Linked DNA regions of Lepisosteus oculatus. The protein of the gene in region 1 purifies or fractionates together with the protein of each later gene. This does not show direct contact. Links are inferred from orthologs where the notes say so. Each region holds a gene or a part of one and is shown in the gene's direction. Other genes may lie near its edges.

The links. The genes of interacting proteins can lie anywhere in the genome.
Region 2: the proteins of eef1a2 (region 1) and eef1g purify together in Homo sapiens (affinity purification with mass spectrometry; 4 studies listed by BioGRID and IntAct, counting the BioPlex papers as one, with this or other methods). This does not show direct contact. The link is inferred for Lepisosteus oculatus from reciprocal best matches to the Homo sapiens genes EEF1A2 and EEF1G.
Region 3: the proteins of eef1a2 (region 1) and eef1b2 purify together in Homo sapiens (co-immunoprecipitation; 4 studies listed by BioGRID and IntAct, counting the BioPlex papers as one, with this or other methods). This does not show direct contact. The link is inferred for Lepisosteus oculatus from reciprocal best matches to the Homo sapiens genes EEF1A2 and EEF1B2.

Annotation. Positions count from the first base shown.
Region 1 is NC_090711.1:7,367,278-7,374,330, forward strand, and holds the start of eef1a2 (elongation factor 1-alpha 2), read left to right. Parts: upstream 1-4,042; 5' UTR 4,043-4,149; intron 4,150-6,467; 5' UTR 6,468-6,529; coding exon 6,530-6,673; intron 6,674-7,053. UniProt on the Homo sapiens protein: Translation elongation factor that catalyzes the GTP-dependent binding of aminoacyl-tRNA (aa-tRNA) to the A-site of ribosomes during the elongation phase of protein synthesis.
Region 2 is NC_090713.1:22,718,679-22,726,321, forward strand, and holds the start of eef1g (elongation factor 1-gamma), read left to right. Parts: upstream 1-4,635; 5' UTR 4,636-4,729; coding exon 4,730-4,741; intron 4,742-6,505; coding exon 6,506-6,664; intron 6,665-6,744; coding exon 6,745-6,808; intron 6,809-7,445; coding exon 7,446-7,588; intron 7,589-7,643. Other genes in the region: polr2g (DNA-directed RNA polymerase II subunit RPB7), read left to right, coding at 143-154, 745-854, 951-1,110, 1,424-1,474, 1,614-1,679, 1,799-1,870, 1,958-1,991, 2,719-2,732. UniProt on the Homo sapiens protein: Probably plays a role in anchoring the complex to other cellular components.
Region 3 is NC_090707.1:32,795,230-32,802,735, forward strand, and holds the start of eef1b2 (elongation factor 1-beta), read left to right. Parts: upstream 1-4,498; 5' UTR 4,499-4,587; coding exon 4,588-4,667; intron 4,668-5,578; coding exon 5,579-5,701; intron 5,702-5,920; coding exon 5,921-6,044; intron 6,045-6,669; coding exon 6,670-6,736; intron 6,737-7,292; coding exon 7,293-7,418; intron 7,419-7,506. Other genes in the region: ndufs1 (NADH-ubiquinone oxidoreductase 75 kDa subunit, mitochondrial), read right to left, coding at 213-289, 947-1,054, 1,288-1,379, 3,078-3,156. UniProt on the Homo sapiens protein: Catalytic subunit of the guanine nucleotide exchange factor (GEF) (eEF1B subcomplex) of the eukaryotic elongation factor 1 complex (eEF1).

The DNA of each region.
Region 1 (7,053 bases):
CTCTAAAAAAAACACTTCTGACTCAGTACCTTAAAGGCTTTTGGGAGGGAGCTATATGTAACAACTCCTCTTCTGATTATGCAGCATGGCCATAGTTTATCAGAAGAGGGGAGAGGTTTCATTCTTTGTCAATGAGACAGTTAAGGATACTACTGTACAGTATGTCCTTGCTGGTCAAAAACAGATTGCAGCAGTGAGGTGAAATTTTAATGGAGTTCTAACAAAAGTGTGGGAGGTTTGAAGGCAGCAAGACAAATAAAGCTCAACTGCTGCTTCCCACAACTTATCCTGATGTAATTTCTCAGATTCCCATATGCACCACACTCTTCCTCGCTTGTTTTGCATTCCTCCACCCAACTCCCACAGTTGCAGCTACCCCTTGGTTGCCTTTTTCTCCAACCATGGAGCTCGCAGCCTCCCTGTCCTATGGCCCTAAGCCATGCGGGCTAAGCCATCCTTTCACAAACTCAAGAAACGATTCTGCTGTAAACACAATTTTCACTTGCCTTAATTCCTTGTTAAATAGAAGACTACAGATTGGAAGTAGGGGAACCTGAGCCAGAATGCATTATGTCAAAGTGTGGTACACAATTGTGAGCCTTTACTCTTAAGAATTCACTGGACAAAATAAGGAAAGAAACTCCCTGAGATCCAGGCAATGTGTGAATGCTTTAATATGAGACAGACATCCATCACCTTCCCAGGCAATCTCATGTCTCTCATTTCAACTTTTTGATTGAGTACAGGTGGACACCAGTGAGGAGTTCATGTTCAATCTCACACACCATAAACTGAAGATAATCCCCCTACAGAACCCTGAAAAGATTGTGTTTCTAGTCTGTGAAAGATTTGTTCAACACATGACACATCCTGGTCACACAGCTGTTGGTGATTGTAAATTTCCACCATTTTATGAAACGGGGTTCCTAATATTTTGGCCGTTGAGTGTATTTCATCACACTAACTGATTAAGGCATTTTATGACACAATCACTGGTTCAGTTCCTTCCAGGAAATCTATTCAGCGTTCACAGAAAGGTATCTGGATAATAAGTATGTCACTGAAATGTTGACTCACCCCCGAGACTGAAGAAGTCATTTTTAAATGTAGAAAAGGTTGCTTTAGATTGGCAATAGGACATATTTGTCAGTGATTTAAAATCTGTTTAACACTTACAGGTTCTGTGGTAAAATCTATTAAATGCTTAGATTAACATCTGATGCAGTTTCACAGCTGGGGAAGTGTTAATTTGTCTCACTGTTTTTAATGTGTTTGTCAGATGTGCAGAAAGGTTAGTCTATATTTAGTCTAGCTTGCTTTCCAAGAGAAGAAATCCTTCCAAACTGGAGAGTTACCAAGTAACATAGAGCATGGAAGGTTTATTTTTCAGAATGAAAAGTCTGAAATGTCCCTGAACTTTCTCATTCCCAGAGGAAAGTGCATTGACTTCAGTTTTCTTTTCTTGACTGTTAAAACTTCCTGCCAGCTTCTTGGATATGTTTAGATTTCCCATGAGAAATATCTACTTGACAGTGATACAGATAATTGATTTTATATTGGATAATATGCCATAATATTGGATAACATGACTTTCTTTCAGTGCAATACAGGGGACAACAAAATATTCAAAAGAAAGACAACTTCCATGTGGAGCTCATTAAGCTTACCCCAGTGTCCATAGATCAAACATTCAGGTTCTGACTTTAACCAGTCGTAAACATCAATAGAGACTTAAACAAGTAGGAGTGAAATTGACTAAGATTTTATTTATTTGGAAGACATAGCACTGTAAAAGCCAGCAGCCATATCACCCTGATGCTCTCAACTGGCTACTTGCTGAAGCAAAGCAGAGTTGAGCCTGGTCAGTACCTGGATGGGAGACCTCCTGGGAAGCTATGGTTGATGCTGGAAGAGGTGTTTGTGGGGCCAGCAGGGGGCACCCACGCTGTGGTTTATGTGAGTCCTAATGCCCCAGTATAGTGGCGGGGACACTATACTGTAGTGGGTGCCATTTTTCGGATGAGATGTTAAACTGAGGTCCTGTCTCTCAGTGGTCATTAAAGATACCTGGGCATTCCTCAATAAGAGTAGGGAGTTATCCTGGTGTCCTGGCCAAATTTTCCCCCTCTTACCGTGGCCTCTAAATTGTCCCCATGGATGATTGGCTTGCACTGGCCCTGCCATGGACTGGCGCCCTGTCCAGGGTGTACCCTGCCTTGTGCTCATTGCTTGCTGGTTAGGCTCTGGCTTCCCGCAACACTATAAAGTGGTTTGGCAAATGACATGACATGACATAGTACTGTGATTGCTACTAATCATCTAGACTCAAAATTATCATGTAAATGCTAACAATTCTCATTTTAGACAAAGGTTAAACACACTTTGTCACTTTTTATGTTCTTATTTCATTGTTGTGCTTTGGTTGTATTGCTGCTTCTTATGTTCAAACACCACTACCACAAACCACACTTTGAAACCCAGATGGTAAACTGCTTCATCTTTCATCTTCAATCAAAAAAGCAATTTTAGGTGTGCCGTGTAAGTCTTGAAAGTTTCAAGTGGACTTTATTTTCCTGCATTTGTCATTTTAGTGGTTTGGTTTTTGGGAACATTGCAGGCAGGGCTGCATCCAGGGGTGTTATATCTTTTTATAATACTACCAATTGACAGACTAATGCTATCAACCTAGACATCAGCAGGAGTAATGACTTAGGAAAGACTGTAAAAACTATGGCTGCTAACACAATGGGGCATCCCATGATCATAATGTTCAGAGCTGTCAGTACTCCATGTCATGGTAGCATCATGACTCAAGCTTGTAACTAGGCTTCAAGAGTGCAGCTTGTGTATTGTTCATATGTAGTGATGTGTTCCCTGGATATTTGCAAAGGATGGTATTTTCTGACACCCACTTTATCCTCTCCAACTTAGTAATTGCAGAGCACATGTCTGCAAGGAAAAAAAAATGCAAAAGCCCTCTAATACTTGTTGTGTAGATAATCAAGCCTGTGGTCACCTCCCCAGATAAACTCTACATGTTGTCTGTCTTGAGCAACAGGCATGCTCTTTTAATGCCAGGTGTTTATTTTTAAATTCTGGCTTGTATCAGACGATATCAAGATACAGTGGCTTCGTTTAGAACTCAAAAGAAGGATCTAGTGCTCATGATAATTCTGTTCAAGTGCCTTGTTGAATGCTGATTTCATTCATATTAGTGAATTCAGTCAATATTAAATATGTTTATGTTGTCTTAGAAGTAAACTTTTCCTGAAGGTGGTCTTTACACAGTGATCTATATCTAACTTTAACTTATTAACTAAATTAACTTATTTCTTCTACGAAGTAAAATACTAATGCATAGTGATCTGTTCATTTAACACTTTGAATGCTTGTAGTGATTGAAAACATCATACTGTGTGTTTTTCTATATAACAAGAAATGCATACCGTACATAAAACAGTTGGAGAAATCTGTGCTAGAATTTGTTGAATGTGTTTAAAAAAATCATAGTACAGACCTGTCTTTCAGTGCACATACAAAAATGAGAAAGAATCAAATCACTGAATGTATGTTCTATATAAAAATACAATAAAACTAAGCTGACCAATGGCAACATCTTTTTAAATCTTAGCTAAAGTTAAACTTATTTAACCTGCTTAGCAACAAAGAAATCATAAAAGATGAATTGATAAACAACATACACTTCAGAGGGGAGTGCTAGACAGAGTCAATGTTTTGTTTCAGTAGAATATTGATTAATTATTTGTGTTTTTATTTTGGTGCTCTATGTTTTGGCTCTACACCCCCTTTAAGCAACTCAGTTCCTCCCGTTAATAGAGGTTACACGTACAGTATAATCACTCTGTGCGTTTATACCCTTGGCTAGCTGTGGGCAAACTTGCTGGTTTGGATGTGTCTTGTATGTTGGGAGCAGAAATGAGCTTCTTTGCTGAATCACTGGGTCTCCCTCTTGCTCTGCTGCAGTTGCTTCACTGCAGTCTTTGCTTTTCTTACTCTGCTACCGCATTGCCGTATTACAGGGGGTGCCCGCATTGCGCAGGGGAGACAAATGCTTCAACCCCCTCCCAGGGACATAAAACTGCCTGGGCTGGAGCTAATAGTCCCTGCTGTCTGAGATCGCAGCCACAGGTAAGAGGCAATATGAATCTGCTATACTATAACCTCTTCTGCTGCAATAGGGGGAATTTCTTACTGTTTTTTTGTTGGTATGTTTTCATGAAGCACCGGGGTTCAGAGTGTAAAACCGAGAGGTCCGTCTTCACCTGCTGGGAGGTATCAATGTTTGCTAGGAGACATGTAGAACATGATGCTAAAAGTAATTTGTTACCTTCAAGAAGAAAACTAGAGACACATTCTCAACAAGCAAAATTGAATATTCTACTGACTCATAAACTGCAACTCTCTTGCAGTGGTTTTCTGGTAAGGATGGGATGATATCAATTCGAAGTAATGGAGGAATCAAACTTTGCAGCTTGCAAAGCCAGCTATGTTTTATCGGGATAAATAAAAAGACAAACAAAGATGTTTGTTTGCTGGGGAATCCACTGCTAAGGACATTCGAGGCCTTTGCTTTATTTTCATGAGGACCAATGAGCATGAGCATAGCATTGCGCTATAGAATACAGGATTTTAGATTCAAGACCACAATGACATAATTATTTTGATAACTCTGTTTTAAACATGCAGCAAATACCTTCTGCTCTAAATGTTACTAAATGTTTGCCATCTCAATATTACCACACCTGGGCTCAAGGGAACTAATACATTCTAGAACTAATAAATTAGTTTTACTTGATTTGGTTGAAATGTTAAAATTATTCCAAATATCTAGAGGATCAAGCACATTGCCTGGCTCAAGGATTGACAATCAATAATCTCATAACAGACGAGGTTATAAATTAATACATTTCTTATGACCTGGTTAGAGTATGATTATTTCAATCCTGTTTGCAAAACTATGTGACAAAACAACATAATACATGTTATCTTAAGATTAAACGTCTTTTTCCATATACTGATGCTTTTCTAAAAAGATTTTTAGCCTCATTGTCTTTTCTTCTTGCTAAAATGGTGAAATTAATGATTAACTATAATTGAGAAGTTATTTAACGTTAATATGCTTATTTTAATGAATGCTGAGATTTGTTTGCCTACAAGCCAGCCTGTCTGTCTGGTTAAGTACAGTTTGACTTGAGTGGATTATTCTCTTTGATCTGATCTTGACAATCAGGGCAGCAGTAGTACATTGCCTAGTGTTGCTGGTATATAATGAAAACATTCAAATGAATGTGATTTGATATTGTTAAAAAGTGCATATTAAACAGCTAATGTGAAATGATTGCTGAATTAAATTTAGCATGTCTGATTTCTTTGTTGGGTGGGTGAAACATGTATATCCTGCATTAGCAAGGTTTAAACTCGAATGTTTGTGGTTCTTGTATGAAAAATGAACATTTCGAACTATTTTCCCATTTCTCATTGAAATAAATATAAAAAAAGTTATTAAATGCATTCAGTATATAAAATGTTTACAATTTTCAACTGTAAATGGGGCTGCAGGTCTCAGAAACATCCCAAATTCAGACCCTTCTGTCCTGACATTGTAAAATTATTGATGATTAATAATGACAAGTGATCATGAAATAATGAAAAACATCATGAAGTTATTGTTCATTTAGATTAGTGCATTTAAGCTTGGTCAGTGGGATACTATAGTACTGGGATAGCAGTGGATCCTGTCGTCCTATGGTATGAAAACAATTTTTTTCCAAATAAACTCCAGAATACATTTCTAATACACAATATTATTAATATATTTAGATATTATTATGGAGGAGTAATGAAGTTTGTTTAAAAAACATTGCAAATCGCAGTAAGTTTGTTATATCAGATGTTAGATAACGATTATTGCATTAACTGGTACTGTTTCTAAGTAGAAAAAGAATTATGTGAATTTCATTTTATTTTAATATCTTTGGAAAGAAAATATCTTAACATATTCAATTACAGAAACAGTTGTTTTAATTCTTTGTGACATTGGCAGCTTGGTCAAGAATTTAGTCCTGTTCATGTCTTAATGTCTGTCTGATTCATACTCATATACAGTACAGTATGTTGTCTCAGTATGAGTCTCTGTCTACAAGGTCATGGTACTTTCTAATGTGTAAAGACTTAAGAGGCAGCCATTTTAGGCATGTATTTACATATAATGTCAGATCTGCAATTCAGGGAAAATTAGGGCAAATACATCAATGAATAAATAACCTTCTGCTTCCCATTCTGAGAACTTTCTTATTACTGTAGATTAATGGGAAGTTTAAAATTAAAGTATTAAGAGGGACCCTATTCAGGATAGACTAGTTTTGATAGATTTCTTTGATGCTCTTCAGTGATTAGTAACCCTCTCTAACGTGGGATGTTTCATCTCCCCTCTGCTTCTCCCCTAGACCTGCCTTGTTCCCAAGCTTCCAACTAGCTCGTCGCTGTCCTTGGAGACCTGAGCTGTAGAATGGGGAAGGAGAAGGTCCACATCAACATTGTGGTCATTGGCCACGTGGATTCTGGAAAGTCCACCACCACTGGGCACCTCATCTACAAATGTGGAGGGATCGACAAAAGAACCATTGAGAAATTTGAGAAGGAAGCAGCAGAGGTAGGACAAATGCATGCCCAGCTCACGAAACCCGAGAAATGTCAAAACCTAAAAAGTTCACTGTTTTCAGCTTTTCGTTCCCTCTTAGTTTAGGTTACGCTGCTGCTGAGGATGGTAGGAAGTCTGTGGTGATTTGTCTGAATATCATCTCCTTTTTTTGTGATGTTATAAATGCTTTTCTCTGTCTCTGTTACATTGCATTAGGGCTGATCACATTTTAGAGATCTTTTAGATGGAACATGAGACTCAGCAGCCTGCAGGCTTGCACACAGCTCCCGTACCTTTGAATGAGACCCAGCCAAGAGATGTGGAAAGTTTCCATTATTAGCTTCCTTATTTAGTAAGCACACTCCATTTTCTGATGCAGTGTGGCCCTTAAC
Region 2 (7,643 bases), on another chromosome or scaffold:
CGTAGAAATGCTGAGACGGAAACGGAAAGGCGGAGTGAGCGTCGGCGCTTCATTCGTGTTGTAGCGTTGTTGCTTTATTTATATTCGTATTTGTGTAATTAAATTGGGTTTAAAGGGGTTCTCCTTGTGGAAGTGGGACACGATGTTTTATCACGTAAGTAGCTGAATCGTTAATTTCCGCGGTCACGTAGCCTGGCGGCTCTGACTGGGGGAGAACGCTGGGCTCAGAAACGCAAGAATATTCATATTTCATTTTTAAAGTGCAAAGTTCGTCTTTGCCGGAATATTTTATAGCAGGACTGACAGAAATAAACATATTTAAGTGTGCGCAAGTGAACGCGTCTCCATTCTTGCCTGTCGACAAACGTTTCAATGTGAAAGGTTTTATTTTTAGAAATAGAAATGGGAATGCTTCATTTCACCGAACCTGCTTATGAGTTTCTCTATCCTCCTGATCCGCTATGTGTCTCCCAGCTGGCGGTGAATTGGGTCTCTCCTGTCTGGGGAGACTCCTGGGGAAAGTGCGGTGTAAATACAAGGAACTTGCTAAGCGCTGGTCACATGGTGCAGCTGGCGCACCTCACACCAGAGGTTTAGAGGATTAATCACTGCCTCCTCCAGCACCTGCTGAGGTGATGTCGCGTCCTTGTTTGACCGTCTTGTGGAAGAGCCGTGCAACAATTATTTTTAAAAAGTGGGCAGGTGCCCTGGTCTCCCGCTCTGTAACGCCTGCCTCCCTCCCAGATCTCCCTGGAACACGAGATCCTGCTCCACCCCCGGTACTTCGGCCCCAACCTGCTGAACACGGTGAAGCAGAAGCTGTTCACGGAGGTGGAGGGCACCTGCACGGGCAAGTGAGTGAGCGGGATCGCTGCAGTCCGCTCCGCTCCGCTCCAGGTCTTCCCTGCGGCGCAGGTGCTGACGGCCCCCTCTCTCTGTCTCTGTGGCAGGTATGGCTTTGTGATCGCTGTGACCACCATCGACAACATCGGCGCCGGCGTGATCCAGCCTGGCAGGGGCTTCGTGCTGTACCCGGTCAAGTACAAGGCCATCGTGTTCCGACCCTTCAAGGGAGAGGTGGTGGATGCTGTGGTCACTCAGGTCAACAAGGTCAGGACAGAGCATGGAGACCTCCTGATGGCCTGTCTCTCTCTCCCCTTCTCATCCATCTCTCCTTTCCTACCTTCCTAATCACCTGTCTCTCTCTCTCTGCTCTCTTCAATCGTCCTAATGGCCTGTCTCTCTCCCCTTTCTTCAATCGTCCTAATGGCCTGTCTCTCTCTCTCTGCTCTCTTCAATCGTCCTAATGGCCTGTCTCTCTCTCTCTGCTCTCTTCAATCGTCCTAATGGCCTGTCTCTCTCTCTCTGTCCTCTTTTCTACCCTCCTGACGGCCTCCTGACAACCCGTCTCTCCATCTCCTAGGTGGGGCTGTTCACAGAAATTGGACCAATGTCGTGTTTCATCTCTCGTCACGTGAGTACCGGACCCCTCTTCCTCTCTAGTCCCGATGCTCGGCCCTGCTTCCTGTTTCCCTCTCTGCTGCGACTTGGAAGTCTGTCCCAGCTCTCCCTCCGGCGCTGCAGGACGGTAACTGTTGCTCTTGTGTTCACAGTCCATTCCTTCAGAGATGGAATTCGACCCGAACTCCAACCCTCCCTGCTACAAGACGGTGGACGAGGTGAGTCTGGGCTTGGGTTTAACAAGGAGAGGCGCCGCCCCCCCCTCTCTCTCGCTGCCCGCTATTGCAGAGCTTCTGACTCCCCGCCGCTGGTCGGTCTGTCTGTCTGTCCCGTGCAGGACATCGTGATCCAGCAGGACGACGAGATCCGGCTGAAGATTGTGGGGACGAGAGTGGACAAGAACGACATCGTGAGTGTCTCTCTCTCTCTCTCACCCCTCCCCCCCATCTCTCGTGCTCCCGGTAACTCCCTCCCTCATGTTGTTTTTCTCTTTCAGTTTGCAATTGGATCCCTGATGGATGATTATCTGGGTGAGTCCTTCAGTCAGTCATTCCAGCCACTAGTGTTGCAGCATTGTGTGCTGTCTGTCACTGTCGCCCCCTAGTGTCACTGGACTGGGATTGCAGCCCCCAGTGTACCAGACTGTCCTACTGAACTGGAGCCCCCAGTGTAACAGGACTGTCCTACTGGACCGGAGCCCCCAGTGTAACAGGACTGTCCTACTGGACCGGGACTGGAGCCCCCAGTGTACCAGGACTGTCCTACTGGACTGGAGCCCCCAGTGTAACAGACTGTCCTACTGGACTGGAGCCCCCAGTGTAACAGACTGTCCTACTGGACTGGAGCCCCAGTGTAACAGACTGTCCTACTGGACTGGAGCCCCCAGTGTACCAGGACTGTCCTACTGGACTGGAGCCCCCAGTGTACCAGGACTGTCCTATTGGACTGGAGCCCCTAGTGTACCAGGACTGTCCTATTGGACTGGAGCCCCCAGTGTACCAGGACTGTCCTATTGGACTGGAGCCCCCAGTGTACCAGGACTGTCCTATTGGACTGGAGCCCCCAGTGTACCAGGACTGTCCTACTGGACTGGAGCCCCAGTGTAACAGACTGTCCTACTGGACTGGAGCCCCCAGTGTAACAGACTGTCCTACTGGACTGGAGCCCCCAGTGTAACAGGAGTGTTTTGGCCTTTAAAGATGAACCTCACTGTTGCTTGAATGAAGGAATGATCGCTCTCTCTCCGTCTCTCTCCAGGCCTGGTCAGCTGATCCTGCTGCAGAGGAAACTGGAGAAGAGAAGAGATCTATTTTTATAAGTGTCTGGCATCAACCCCCACCTCCCCCACACGAACCCCGACAGCGCAGCACCCCCACGAGAAGCTGCGCCCCAACTCTGCGGCCCCTGCGGGGGGGGGGGGTCAGGGTGTCACGGTTCCGGAGCACGAACCAGTCTGGGGGTGCAGCTCTCCCCAGACTGCGGGCCGAGAGAGCTGCGTTCTCTGGCTGCCCCTGCCCCTGCAGGTGACTCAGCAGGTTCTTGCTGGAGTGCTGACTCGTCAGTAACCCCCCTGCGCCTGTTCTGCAGTGTCACCCCTCCCCCCCCCCGCCTGCTGTTCCGCACTGTGGCCTCTCCCTCCTGTCCAGATCAATAAAAGCCTTTTGCTGCCCTGACTTCCAGGCCTTCACCTTGTTGTCGTTTCTTTTACCGGGGTTCGTATTTGTATATGTGCACAACAAAGCTGAAATCCTGTAATCTGTCTCCTGATAACCTATACTAATACAGTCTGTCTCACAAGAGTCTGGACCCCAGGGGTGTCTGAACAGCCTGTCCAATATGAGTCTGGACCCCAGGGGTGTCTGAACAGCCTGTCCAATATGAGTCTGGACCCCAAGGGTGTCTGTACAGAGTGTCCAGTAAGAGCCTGTACCCCAGGGTGTCTGAACAGTATCTAGTAAGTGTCTGTACCCCAGGGATGTCTGTACAGTGTGACCATTAAGAGTCTGTACCCCAGGGGTGTCTGTTCAGCGTGTCCAGTAAGAGTGTGTACCCCAGGGGTGTTTGTACAGTGTGACCAGTAAGAGTCTGTACCCCAGGGGTGTCTGAACAGTATCTAGTAAGAGTCTGGACCCCAGGGATGTCTGTACAGTGTGACCATTAAGAGTCTGTACCCCAGGGGTGTCTGTTCAGCGTGTCCAGTAAGAGTGTGTACCCCAGGGGTGTTTGTACAGTGTGACCAGTAAGAGTCTGTACCCCAGGGGTGTCTGAACAGTATCTAGTAAGAGTCTGGACCCCAGGGGTGTCTGTACAGTGTGACCATTAAGAGTCTGTACCCCAGGGGTGTCTGTTCAGCGTGTCCAGTAAGAGTGTGTACCCCAGGGGTGTCTGTACAGTGTGACCAGTAAGAGTCTGTACCCCAGGGGTGTCTGAACAGTATCTAGTAAGAGTCTGGACCCCAGGGGTGTCTGTACAGTGTGACCATTAAGAGTCTGTACCCCAGGGGTGTCTGTTCAGCGTGTCCAGTAAGAGTGTGTACCCCAGGGGTGTCTGTACAGTGTGACCAGTAAGAGTCTGTACCCCAGGGGTGTCTGTACAGAGTGTGCAGTAAGAGCCTGTACCCCAGGGGTGTCTGAACAGCCTGTCCAATATGTGTCTGGACCCCAGGGGTGTCTGTACCGAGTGTCCAGTAAGAGTCTGGACCCCAGGGGTGTCTGTACAGTGTGTCCAGTAAGAGCCTGTACCCCAGGGGTGTCTGAACAGTATCTAGTAAGTGTCTGTACCCCAGGGATGTCTGTACAGCGTGTCCAGTAAGAGTCTGTACCCCAGGGGTGTCTGTACAGTGTGACCAGTGAGAGTCTGGACCCCAGGGGTGTCTGTGCAGTGAGTAAGTTATCTGCTTTGGCAACACTGATTGTACCCATCGGTCATGCTAATAAAGCACCTTGAATTGAATTGAATTGAGTGCACCCCCAGATAACACATGCAGGCATGGAGTGCCGGTCTGGGGCTGAACCCGGGATGTGAGAATCGGGAGGCAGACCCGCCGCGCCCCGGGGACGCGGGCACTCAAGCCCGGTGGGAGTTTGCCGCACTACGGAGACGGAGGAGACCAGTCCTGCGGGCAGACGGCGCCTCTCGCCGACCCCTCCCCCCGTCACAGCCCCGCCCCTCTCACGCAGAAACCCCGCCCCCCCTCGCGCGCCACGCGGCCGGCCTCGCTATACGTCACTCGAGCGCGCCGCCCTTCCTTCTTTCTCTCCTGTCGAAGATGGCGGCCGGGGTGAGTACGGAGCAGCCGGGGCCGGGTTTTCAAACTGGTGGGCGCCGGCAATCCGGCCGCCATCCCCCTCATCCTTCGCCGCTCGGCCCGGCCGCTGGGCGCTGCGGGGGCCGCAGGCTGCTGTGTCTCCGCAGGGAGCTGTATTTCTCTCCCGGATGGCGGAGGAGGGGAGGGGGTTCGCTCGGTTTTATTGTTGGGAAGCGGCTCCGTCACGGACTCTCTCGCCGCTTGCTTACAGGCGCCGGTGCCGGAGAGACGCGGGGTGGGGTCGCAGTCCTGCGAGAGGGCGCTGCTCTGTGGTGTCAGGGGGGGGTCCGGGAGCTGTGTGGCGGGGGCTCGGCTCGGGGGGGGAGGCCCGGCTGTCAGTGAGCCGGGTCTGCGGGCCCGGGCGTGCCGCCGCTCCGCTCGCCGGTACCGGACACAGGACACAGGGCAGAGGACAGAGGGGGGCCCCGGCTGTGTGTGTGGTGGGGGACAGAGGGAGCCCCTGCTGTCTGTGTGTGTGTGGTGGGGGACAGAGGGAGCCCCTGCTGTCTGTGTGTGTGTGGTGGGGGACAGAGGGAGCCCCTGCTGTCTGTGTGTGTGTGGTGGGGGACAGAGGGAGCCCCTGCCGTGTGTGTGTGTGTGTGGGGGACAGAGGGAGCCCCTGCCGTGTGTGTGTGTGTGGTGGGGGACAGAGGGAGCCCCTGCCGTGTGTGTGTGTGTGGTGGGGGACAGAGGGAGCCCCTGCCGTGTGTGTGTGTGTGTGGGGGACAGAGGGAGCCCCTGCCGTGTGTGTGTGTGTGTGGGGGACAGAGGGAGCCCCTGCCGTGTGTGTGTGTGTGTGAGGGGGACAGAGGGAGCCCCTGCCGTGTGTGTGTGTGAGGGGGACAGAGGGAGCCCCTGCCGTGTGTGTGTGTGGTGGGGGACAGAGGGAGCCCCTGCCGTGTGTGTGTGTGTGGGGGACAGAGGGAGCCCCTGCCGTGTGTGTGTGTGTGTGTGAGGGGGACAGAGGGAGCCCCTGCCGTGTGTGTGTGGTGGGGGACAGAGGGAGCCCCTGCCGTGTGTGTGTGTGTGGTGGGGGACAGAGGGAGCCCCTGCCGTGTGTGTGTGTGTGGTGGGGGACAGAGGGAGCCCCTGCCGTGTGTGTGTGTGTGGTGGGGGACAGAGGGAGCCCCTGCCGTGTGTGTGTGTGTGGTGGGGGACAGAGGGAGCCCCTGCCGTGTGTGTGTGTGGTGGGGGACAGAGGGAGCCCCTGCCGTGTGTGTGTGTGTGTGTGGTGGGGGACAGAGGGAGCCCCTGCCGTGTGTGTGTGTGTGTGTGGTGGGGGACAGAGGGAGCCCCTGCCGTGTGTGTGTGTGTGTGTGGTGGGGGACAGAGGGGCCCCTGTTGTGTGTGTGTGGTGGGGGACAGAGGGGCCCCTGTTGTGTGTGTGTGTGGTGGGGGACAGAGGGGCCCCTGTTGTGTGTGTGTGTGGTGGGGGACAGAGGGGCCCCTGTTGTGTGTGTGTGTGGTGGGGGACAGAGGGGCCCCTGTTGTGTGTGTGTGTGGTGGGGGACAGAGGGGCCCCTGTTGTGTGTGTGTGTGGTGGGGGACAGAGGGGCCCCTGCTGTGTGTGTGGTGGGGGGGGGCGCAGAGGGAGCCCCGGGTCTCTCTCTGAGTGGTCAAGTGGACTGTTTGAGGGGTGACAGTGTGCCCCCACATGCCCTTGGGCTGTCCAGAGCTGCTGGCGCAGGTGTCCGGACGCCCCTGGTTCTGCTCACCCTCTGCCCTCTGTCTCCCCAGACTCTGTACACGTACCCCGAGAACTGGAGAGCCTTCAAGGCTCAGATCGCAGCCCAGTACAGCGGCGCCAAGCTGCGCCTGGCCTGCACCCCCCCGGACTTCACCTTCGGACAGACCAACAAGAGCCCGGCCTTCCTCAAGAACTTCCCCCTGGGCAAGGTGAGGCGCCGTGGGCGCAGGCCAGCGAGGAGCGCCCCCCCCCTCCCCTCCCTCTCTCACTCCCCCTGTTTCTCGCCCAGGTCCCTGCTTTCCAAGGAGACGATGGCTTCTGTCTGTTCGAGAGCAACGCCATCGCCTACTACTGTAAGTCCTGACTGGCACTGCTCACTCTCTCCTCTCTCTCTCTCTCCTGTCTGGGGGTCTCACACACACACTGTCTGTGTGGGGGCTCTCTCTCTCTCTCTCACTCTCCTGCCCTCTGTCTGTAATAATACAGTGTGTGACCTCCTGTCCCAGCCTGAGGAACAGTGAGCTCCAGATGTTTAAATGTAACTGTATTTAGAGGGGTCTGTATTTTGTGTTAATTGTATTTGTTTTGCTTTGGCAACACTAATTTATTCATTGGTCGTGTCAATAAAGCACCTTGAATTGAATTGAGAGACTGAGTGTGTGTGATCGACTGGCTTACTGGCACACACACACACACAGAGAGAGACAGTGTGTCTCAGTGTGATTGACTGTCTAGCTCTCTCTGTGTCTCAGTGAGCCAGTGTCTCTATGTGATTGACTGTCTCGCTCTCTCTCTGTGTCTCAGTGAGCCCGTGTGTCTCAGTGTGATTGACTGTCTCGCTCTCTCTCTCTGTGTCTCAGTGAGCCCGTGTGTCTCAGTGTGATTGACTGTCTCTCTCTCTGTGTGATTGACTGTCTCTCTCTCTCTCTGTGTGTCTCAGTGAGCCCGTGTGTCTCTGTGTGATTGACTGTCTCTCTCTCTGTGCGTCAGTGAGCTCGGATGCTCTCAGAGGCACCACTAAGCAGGACTCGGCCCAGATCCTGCAGTGGCTCAGCTTTGCGGACTCTGAGGTCATCCCCCCGGCCAGCACCTGGGTGTTCCCCACGCTGGGCATCATGCAGTACAACAAGCAGGTGAGTCCCAGCGGCGTCCACAGCGGGCTGCTTTCGTCCGCGTCTGCGCCGGCAG
Region 3 (7,506 bases), on another chromosome or scaffold:
CGAACGGCAAAGGAAGGAGCCACCCAAAAGGTGATCCCGACCGCAATTCCTCGTGGAAATGTTCCGGTCTCCCGGGAAACCGCCAACCGCGAGCGGCCACTGGGCCCCACAGGGCATAACACCCATAAGAAGCTGTTCTCTGAAAACACGCAACGGGATGACAGGAAAACACAAACGCAGGGCAGGAAAGAACTACCTGCTCTCCACCTCACCTGGCTTTCTTGGTTTTCTCAGAGTTTGTGAGGATATTCCAACCTTTCATGACTGGCATTGCACAAGCTGCCACGGGCTGAAAAGGCAAGAAAGCGTTAGAAACGGTTTCATTTTACGACTCGTGCTGACACTGCCATGAAAGACATGTTACTAGATTTCTGCCACCTAGATTCCACTGAAACAAAGACGAAGAGTTTAAGTGATCATTTCTGAATGTGCATTAAATTAGTCAGCTCTTCAGTTTCCTTAAATTTACCAATTATCTTCCAGCTGACAACATTTCCCTTAACAGTTACTGGTGGTATTAATTGCCAGATACTATCACAATGCTTACCTGCGTAATTATGCCATTAATAACAAAGATGTAGAAAGCATTTCAAACACTTAAAATAAGAAATTTAGCACAAAACATTTCTGAATCACAGCCATCTAAACAGCCGTGGTGAAAACATTTTGGAGAATTTCAAATCAAAATGCGCAACCTTGCTATTTTGAAAAGAATGGTATTTGCAACACCTGATGCTCATACATCCAACATACTTGATCACAGCTGAATGAACACAGATGTTTTAATCCTTTTGATATGCAGCTACTTTTACAAAACCACATGAAAAGGTCTTTCAACAGACATTTAACCACCAAAACTCCATGTGATTTTCTCCATGTATCAAAATTCAAAATCCTTTGCACTTATCATTTGCTTTCGAAATCTTGTAATTTGGAAGACCCGTACCTTGGGTGCTTTCTCAATCTCCACCAGACACATTCTACAGTTTCCAGCAATTGAGAGTCGGTCGTGATAACAGAAGCGTGGAATCTGAACTCCGACTTTCTCACAGGCCTAGAAAAAAAAAAATCAGTTGGGTCCGAATTAAATGACAGGTAACTATTAATACTTCCTATCTGTTTTCCCCCAAAATGTACTTCACCATTTAAAGGATAAATAAAACTCATTACCCACATTTCCAAAAGTGGACTGACCTGTCCATACAAATATGGACCACAATACCCCTGCAGTTTCACAAAGTTTACACTGATTTTCAAGATGGTAACCATTTCGGAATACGAACTCACCTGAAGCACTGTAGTTCCTGGTTCAACCATGAGGGGCTTTCCATCCACAAAGATCTCAACAAGGTTACTGGCTGCTGTAGCTGTGGTGCGGACTGCAGACACAAACGAGAAACCCAGCGCAATGAACTCTTCCTCATTCGTTTTTGTAACCAGTCTCTCAGCAGTATGCAAATGCAAGGCTGGCTTGAGGATCACCATTTTCCAGCTGCCTCTTCCAATTCAGGTTTTACTAAGTTCCTCCTACTAAGATAAGATCATTTAATTGCCCATATACAATTTCTTGGGTTAGGAATTTGTCTTTTCACATTGCCCAGCTTGCTCTCCATGAGACACACAGACACAGAAGCTTGGGGTCAGAGCGCAGGGTCAGCCATTTATACGGCGTCCCTGGAGAAGCTGGGGTTAAGGGCCTTGCTCAGGGGCCCAACAGAGTAGGATTCCTCTGCCGGCCACGGGCACAGATCCTTAGCCACAGTGTCACTGCTCCACCCTTGTTATTTGTTACTCCCTTGTTACTTTTTGTTAAGTAACGAGAAGTACACATTTCCATCCATCCATTTTCTAACCACTTCATCCAATTCGGTTGAGGGGGAGCCAGAGCCAGGCGACCAAAAGACACTAAGCAGGATCCACCCAGGACGACACCCCAGTCCATCACAGGGCACACACAGACGCAGACGCACACCCTCACACCAGGGCCAGGTTTCCCAGAAGCCAATTAACCTGCCAATATGTTTTTGGACTGTGGGAGCAACCGGAGCACCTGCAGAAAACCCACTAGAACCATGAGAGAACATGCAAACTCCACACAGACAGTACCCTGGGTCCAGAATTGAACCCAGGGCCCCCACGCTGTGAGGCAATAATGCCAGCCACTGCACCACTGTGCCCCATTAAAAGAACAATCTCTTAACCCTATTGAAACCGGTGAAATGAGCAAAACAAACAAGATTATCTCCAGTCGAGGTAGTGATGAAGGCAGTGGTGTGCAAAACCAAGCTAACAAGAAGGATGGGATGGGCTGTGAATATTCCCCCAGCTGAGTGGGATTACAAGCTATGCCCTGTAAAAACTGTTCATGCCCCTCACAGAGGATCATGTTATTGGATGGGGGTTGTAAACATAATGGGAAACAAATGCAAAAGAATTTAAGGGTCTGGACTGAAAACAAGTTCCACTACTATCTTATTTTGCAAAGCGTTTCAAATAACACTTCTCAGCACTGTATTCAGCCCGCATCATGATTTTAAGATCTCACAAGACTTGTGGTACAGGAAAAGATTCAGCACTAATTTTTTTCCCCCCAATTATAATTTGTTTGTGAACGTGAGCTCATAACCAGCCTATGAGCTTGTTTCAACTAAGGCTACGGTTGATTTGCTTGAAGTGCTGGAAAGAGCTGACACGCGATCTCTTCCGATTCCACCACACACCGCCGATCTTTCTGGGGGAAGAGTTTGAGAAGCACAAGTACGGATCCTCAGCGGCGTAGTTTATTCTACCAATGCGGATTTGTACAGCAAAATCAAAGCAGCACTACAGCTGCCACACAGGGCTGGGATACCCAAAGACATCAATGCTCCTGCTGTATATACAGGTGCTCCTAAACACCACTCAGAGCAACAGCCCAGGCAGAACTGTCTTGCTAAAGCACCGCAAAGTGGCAACATCCACCAAGAGAGATGAACAGCCAGAAAGACCCCAGGCAACACTTGTCTAATGGACATTCCCTCTGTTTACATCTGTGTGCTCAGCTTTAGAGATCACTGATAGATATTTTTTGGGCTTACCATTGTTCTTCCCACTTATGCAAGCTGGGGAACGGGCAGCCCCTGAAAGTGCACGTCTCACCGCAGGTAAACGCAACATGTCGCTGGAAGAAAAACACACATCAGACATTGACACTAGAAGAATGGGTTTCATGAACACACAGACGACCCAGAAACGGCAAAAAGGTCACACGACTCTAAATCCCATGTCTTAACACAACACGGTCCGGCTCTATCTATTTAAGACACTTTAGAAAATGAAATCCCAAAGCTACCTAATGCATCCTCTCACTTTATGTGCAAAAGAACAGCATTAGGACTAAAACACAAAATGTTGGCGTGTACAATGATAAGAACCTCCGACATTCAAAGTGACACTTGGTAAACAGGAGGCAGACCAACAGCTCACAAAGAAATAAATTTCATCTCTCACAAGTTAATTAATTTTCAATTCTTCCATTACACCACAGAGCTCAGGTTGTTGCAGGGCACTGCAAGCTACATAACTGAAGAGTCAAGGGCACAGAAAGAGATAACAAACCCCTTCTTTTCACTCTAAAAAACAGCAAACTTCAACGTCTTTTAATTGTAGCTTGACGACAGTTTAAAAAGTAAGCATCTGCATGCCCACACACTAATCACTTCAACTTCAGAGGTCTGTTTTGGTCATCTTACCTTGTCGCTATTTGGCCTTCTAGACCAGAACAGCGGCGCTCTACCAGTATGGCGACTTCGGCAATCTCCGGAGAAAATAACGAAAATGATCAAATAACGTATACCGCAAAAGATTTATTTTTTTCCAAAGAGACTAATTTTATTTTATTCTATACCAAATACATCCATTTTGCCTAGCATATGTCATTATTATTTTTATTTTGATATTAAAGAACCTTTCACCTTTAACCTTCGTTTCGTCACTTCCTACATGAATGAACGTATTTACCTAGGTATTGCATTAATTTCTTTTTCATGTAAAGTCAGAAAACCCCCATCAAAATAGTATAAAGTGAGAAGATAAAGAAATATTGCTTTTTATTTTTTGGAATATTGATTAAAATGTAGAATTCTTCTCTGAGAACCGCCTGACGCGTTTAATTTCTCTTCGTTTCCACACGATAAGCTCTGTCAAATCATTGCTTCTAGTTTAAACTTTTACTGGGATTCTGCGAGAACTTTCACACATCAATTAAAGTCTCTCCGAAGTGCTTCGGACGTGCATTTCTTAAGGCTGTGTGTTTGAGACACGACGGATGGATCTTTCTCGTCATGCAAATTCAAAGTTGGATAATTTGTCATTTTCCCCTAACACATTGAAAACTTCGAATAAGATTCGTTCATTATATTATATAATAGGTAGTTCTTAATAAATTAGTTGTCCGAGGAGGTGAGGGTGGAGCCAGTGTTGTCGTCAGAGGTATAAATGTCATCGTAAGAAGAAACTCGTTCCTTCTCTCTTCCTGCTGGACCGCTGGTGTGAAGAAATCGTACCCCCGGGTCTTTGAAACGAGGTCTGCACAACAAATCTAATACAATGGGCTTTGGAGATCTTAAAACCCCGGCCGGCTTGAAGGTCCTCAACGACTTTTTGGCTGATAAAAGTTATATCGAGGGGTCTGTACACGGTATACGTTTTTTTTTTAATTTGCACGTTGGGAAGTTTTTTTGAGCACGCCTCACGAGTCATGTTAGCCGTGACACGTTGGCGCCAGATTAAACGAAAGGGGATTTTATCGTTTAAAAACTACAAAACCGGATTAATAAAATCACCGATGTTAGTTTTTTCCTATTTAAAAACGGGTGTAGTTCGCGATTCTGTTACGTAAACGTTAAAATTGACACGTAACTCTTACCCGGCAAGGCCTGTGGCCTGCTCAGTGATTAAGGACTTGGGAGTGCGGTTGTGGAGAAAATGGGCTGATAATATGTAAAATACATCTTAAACGTTTAATATTAAAAAAACGAAACTAATGAAAGTAAAACGATTTTTGTACTCGATTCTCATATGTTAATCATATCCTGACATTGTAGGCCATAGGCATTTTTACCGGGCTTAACTGCATTGCATTATCAGTATATTCTTGTTAGGAGCCCATTGAAAGTGTCCCCGACATCTGTCTGCGCCGTGCAAACTCCTTTTAGCACAACTTCAGTAAAAAAAATAACAGGACGGGATGTATTTGGATTCATTTGAAATGGCACAATTTTTTTTTTACCCTTTCGTTGCTCGGGTCGATTAGTTTTGCGGGGGTGCTAAAAAAGAAAACGGACGCATCACTCATTCACCCAGCTGAAATGAATTTATTCTCCTCAAATGTGAAATTCGCCTCATGCGTACTATTTTGGAAGATGTGTCGCAAGATTGAAGAGTTGTGAAAGACTGAATCTCGGAGAATGTTTTGACTCCTACGTCTATCGATTAATATAGTTGATAACCGTGTCCAACAGTGATGTTAAGTGCCCCTTTCAGGAAGAATCCGTTGTCTGTACCGTACGTGTAATGTGGGCTTTTATTTTCTGAACAGATACGTTCCGTCTCAGGCAGATGTCGCTGTGTTCGAGGCCCTTTCCAGCCCGCCTTCCGCAGACCTGTTCCATGCCCTGCGCTGGTACAATCACATCAGGTCCTACGAGAAGGAGAAAGCAAGGTACTGGCTGGCAAAGCAAGAGAGGAAATTTAAAAGCCTTCTTTGTGTTGTAAAATGAAGCCCGTGTTAACTGGTGGAGTGATGATCGTTTTCACCATCTTTCGCCTGAGCCTGTGATGCACAGCTTATCAGCTCTGACCCCAACCAGTTCATTTCGGTTGCAGGAGGTGGTGTACGCTATTGTCTCCCATCTCATACTCCCGTCCCTTATCTCCACAGCCTTCCTGGAGTGAAGAAGCCTCTGGGGAAGTATGGCCCAGCTGGAGTGGAAGACGTCACCAGTACCGAGTCGAAGGAGGAGGACGACGACGATATCGACCTGTTTGGGTCTGATGAGGAAGAGGTGAGTGCGTGTGGATTCTGCACAAAGCCAGCTGAGAGAGTCACTTTTGCAACGGGGGGGAAGAATCATTTTGTAGATTTGTTACAGATTATACGTGGATGTGGAAAGTGAGGTGTCCAGGGGTTGGACAATCCCCAATTCATCTTTTAACAATGAGTTATCGGTCTTGTGCAGCCAGGCACTGCTGTTGATTGTAATGTGTAGCACTGAGCTGCCTTGCAACACGTCCGAGTTCCACGTGGAGCCCTTGTAACCGATTCACGCAATCTTGTTTCGCAGCTGCATATCGTTCGATATAGAGATGCCACAATGGCACCGGTTCATAGATAATCATATTACAAGCAAATTTCAAGCCGCGCGTGAACTGAAGTGTTAACTGAAGGCGGCGGCTCTCCTAGAATGGTTTCTGCCAGCTCCTCGTCCAGATCGTGTTTTTCCCTTTGTGGCTGGCCAGAGTGATTTTTCTTCACCATCTTTCGGCTGAAGACGTGATGGACATTCTGATGTCTGACGGCCGCCAGCAGTCTCCTGCTTGTCTGTGCGTGTATCTGATGCTTTGTTCCTGGTCTGTCCGATTTTCTTTTTTTTTTGGGAGGTAACTTTCTTGATTTCTCCCCCCCCTTAGGAGAGTGAAGAGGCCAAGAGGGTGAGGGAGGAGCGTCTTGCGGCCTACGAAGCAAAGAAAGCCAAAAGTAAGCTTACCGCCTATATTCTGTCCCCGTGGCAGGGAGCAGGCTATATCTAGCAACCCTCTAATATCCCTCCCTGACCTGTATTGCACCAAACACACCTTTTGATTGCGTTTCCGGGCTTGATTCCGGTGTGCTTTCAAACAGCTGGAAAGGCTTGGGAGTTCTTGAGTACCTGTAGATTACGAAAACTGGTCATGGTGGATCTGCTCATTTGTATTGCTCATGGATTTGCAGTGATGTCAGTAGTGAATTTATAGGTGATCTGGGTTTTATTTCAGATGCTGCCCGTTGGGGCACAAAAAAATGAAAGTGTTTTGTTTGTGGGGCTCGATTCTTTGGAGGGGATCGCAAATTATTTTGAAGGGGGGATTTTTCAGAGCGGTGATTTGTTCGCTGGAACAGTGATGATCTAACTCACCATCTTTCGACTGAATCCCTGATGGACTGTTATTGATCTGATGGTTGCCAGCGTTCATATTTACAGTAGAGTTGATGCAGCGGTGCAATGTGCTTTAGTGTGCCGGGTGACCCTCGTCTTTTTTTTTTTTTCCTCCAGAGCCAGCGCTCATCGCCAAGTCCTCCATCCTGCTGGACGTGAAGCCGTGGGATGACGAGACAGACATGGCCAAACTGGAGGAGTGTGTCAGAAGCATCCAGATGGACGGTCTTGTCTGGGGATCCTGTAAGTGTGCTTGAATCAGTAATTTTCCCCAGCAGGGGCCGCTAGTGAATAAATCCCAAGTCTTTCCCATGTGCTGTATAGATATTCT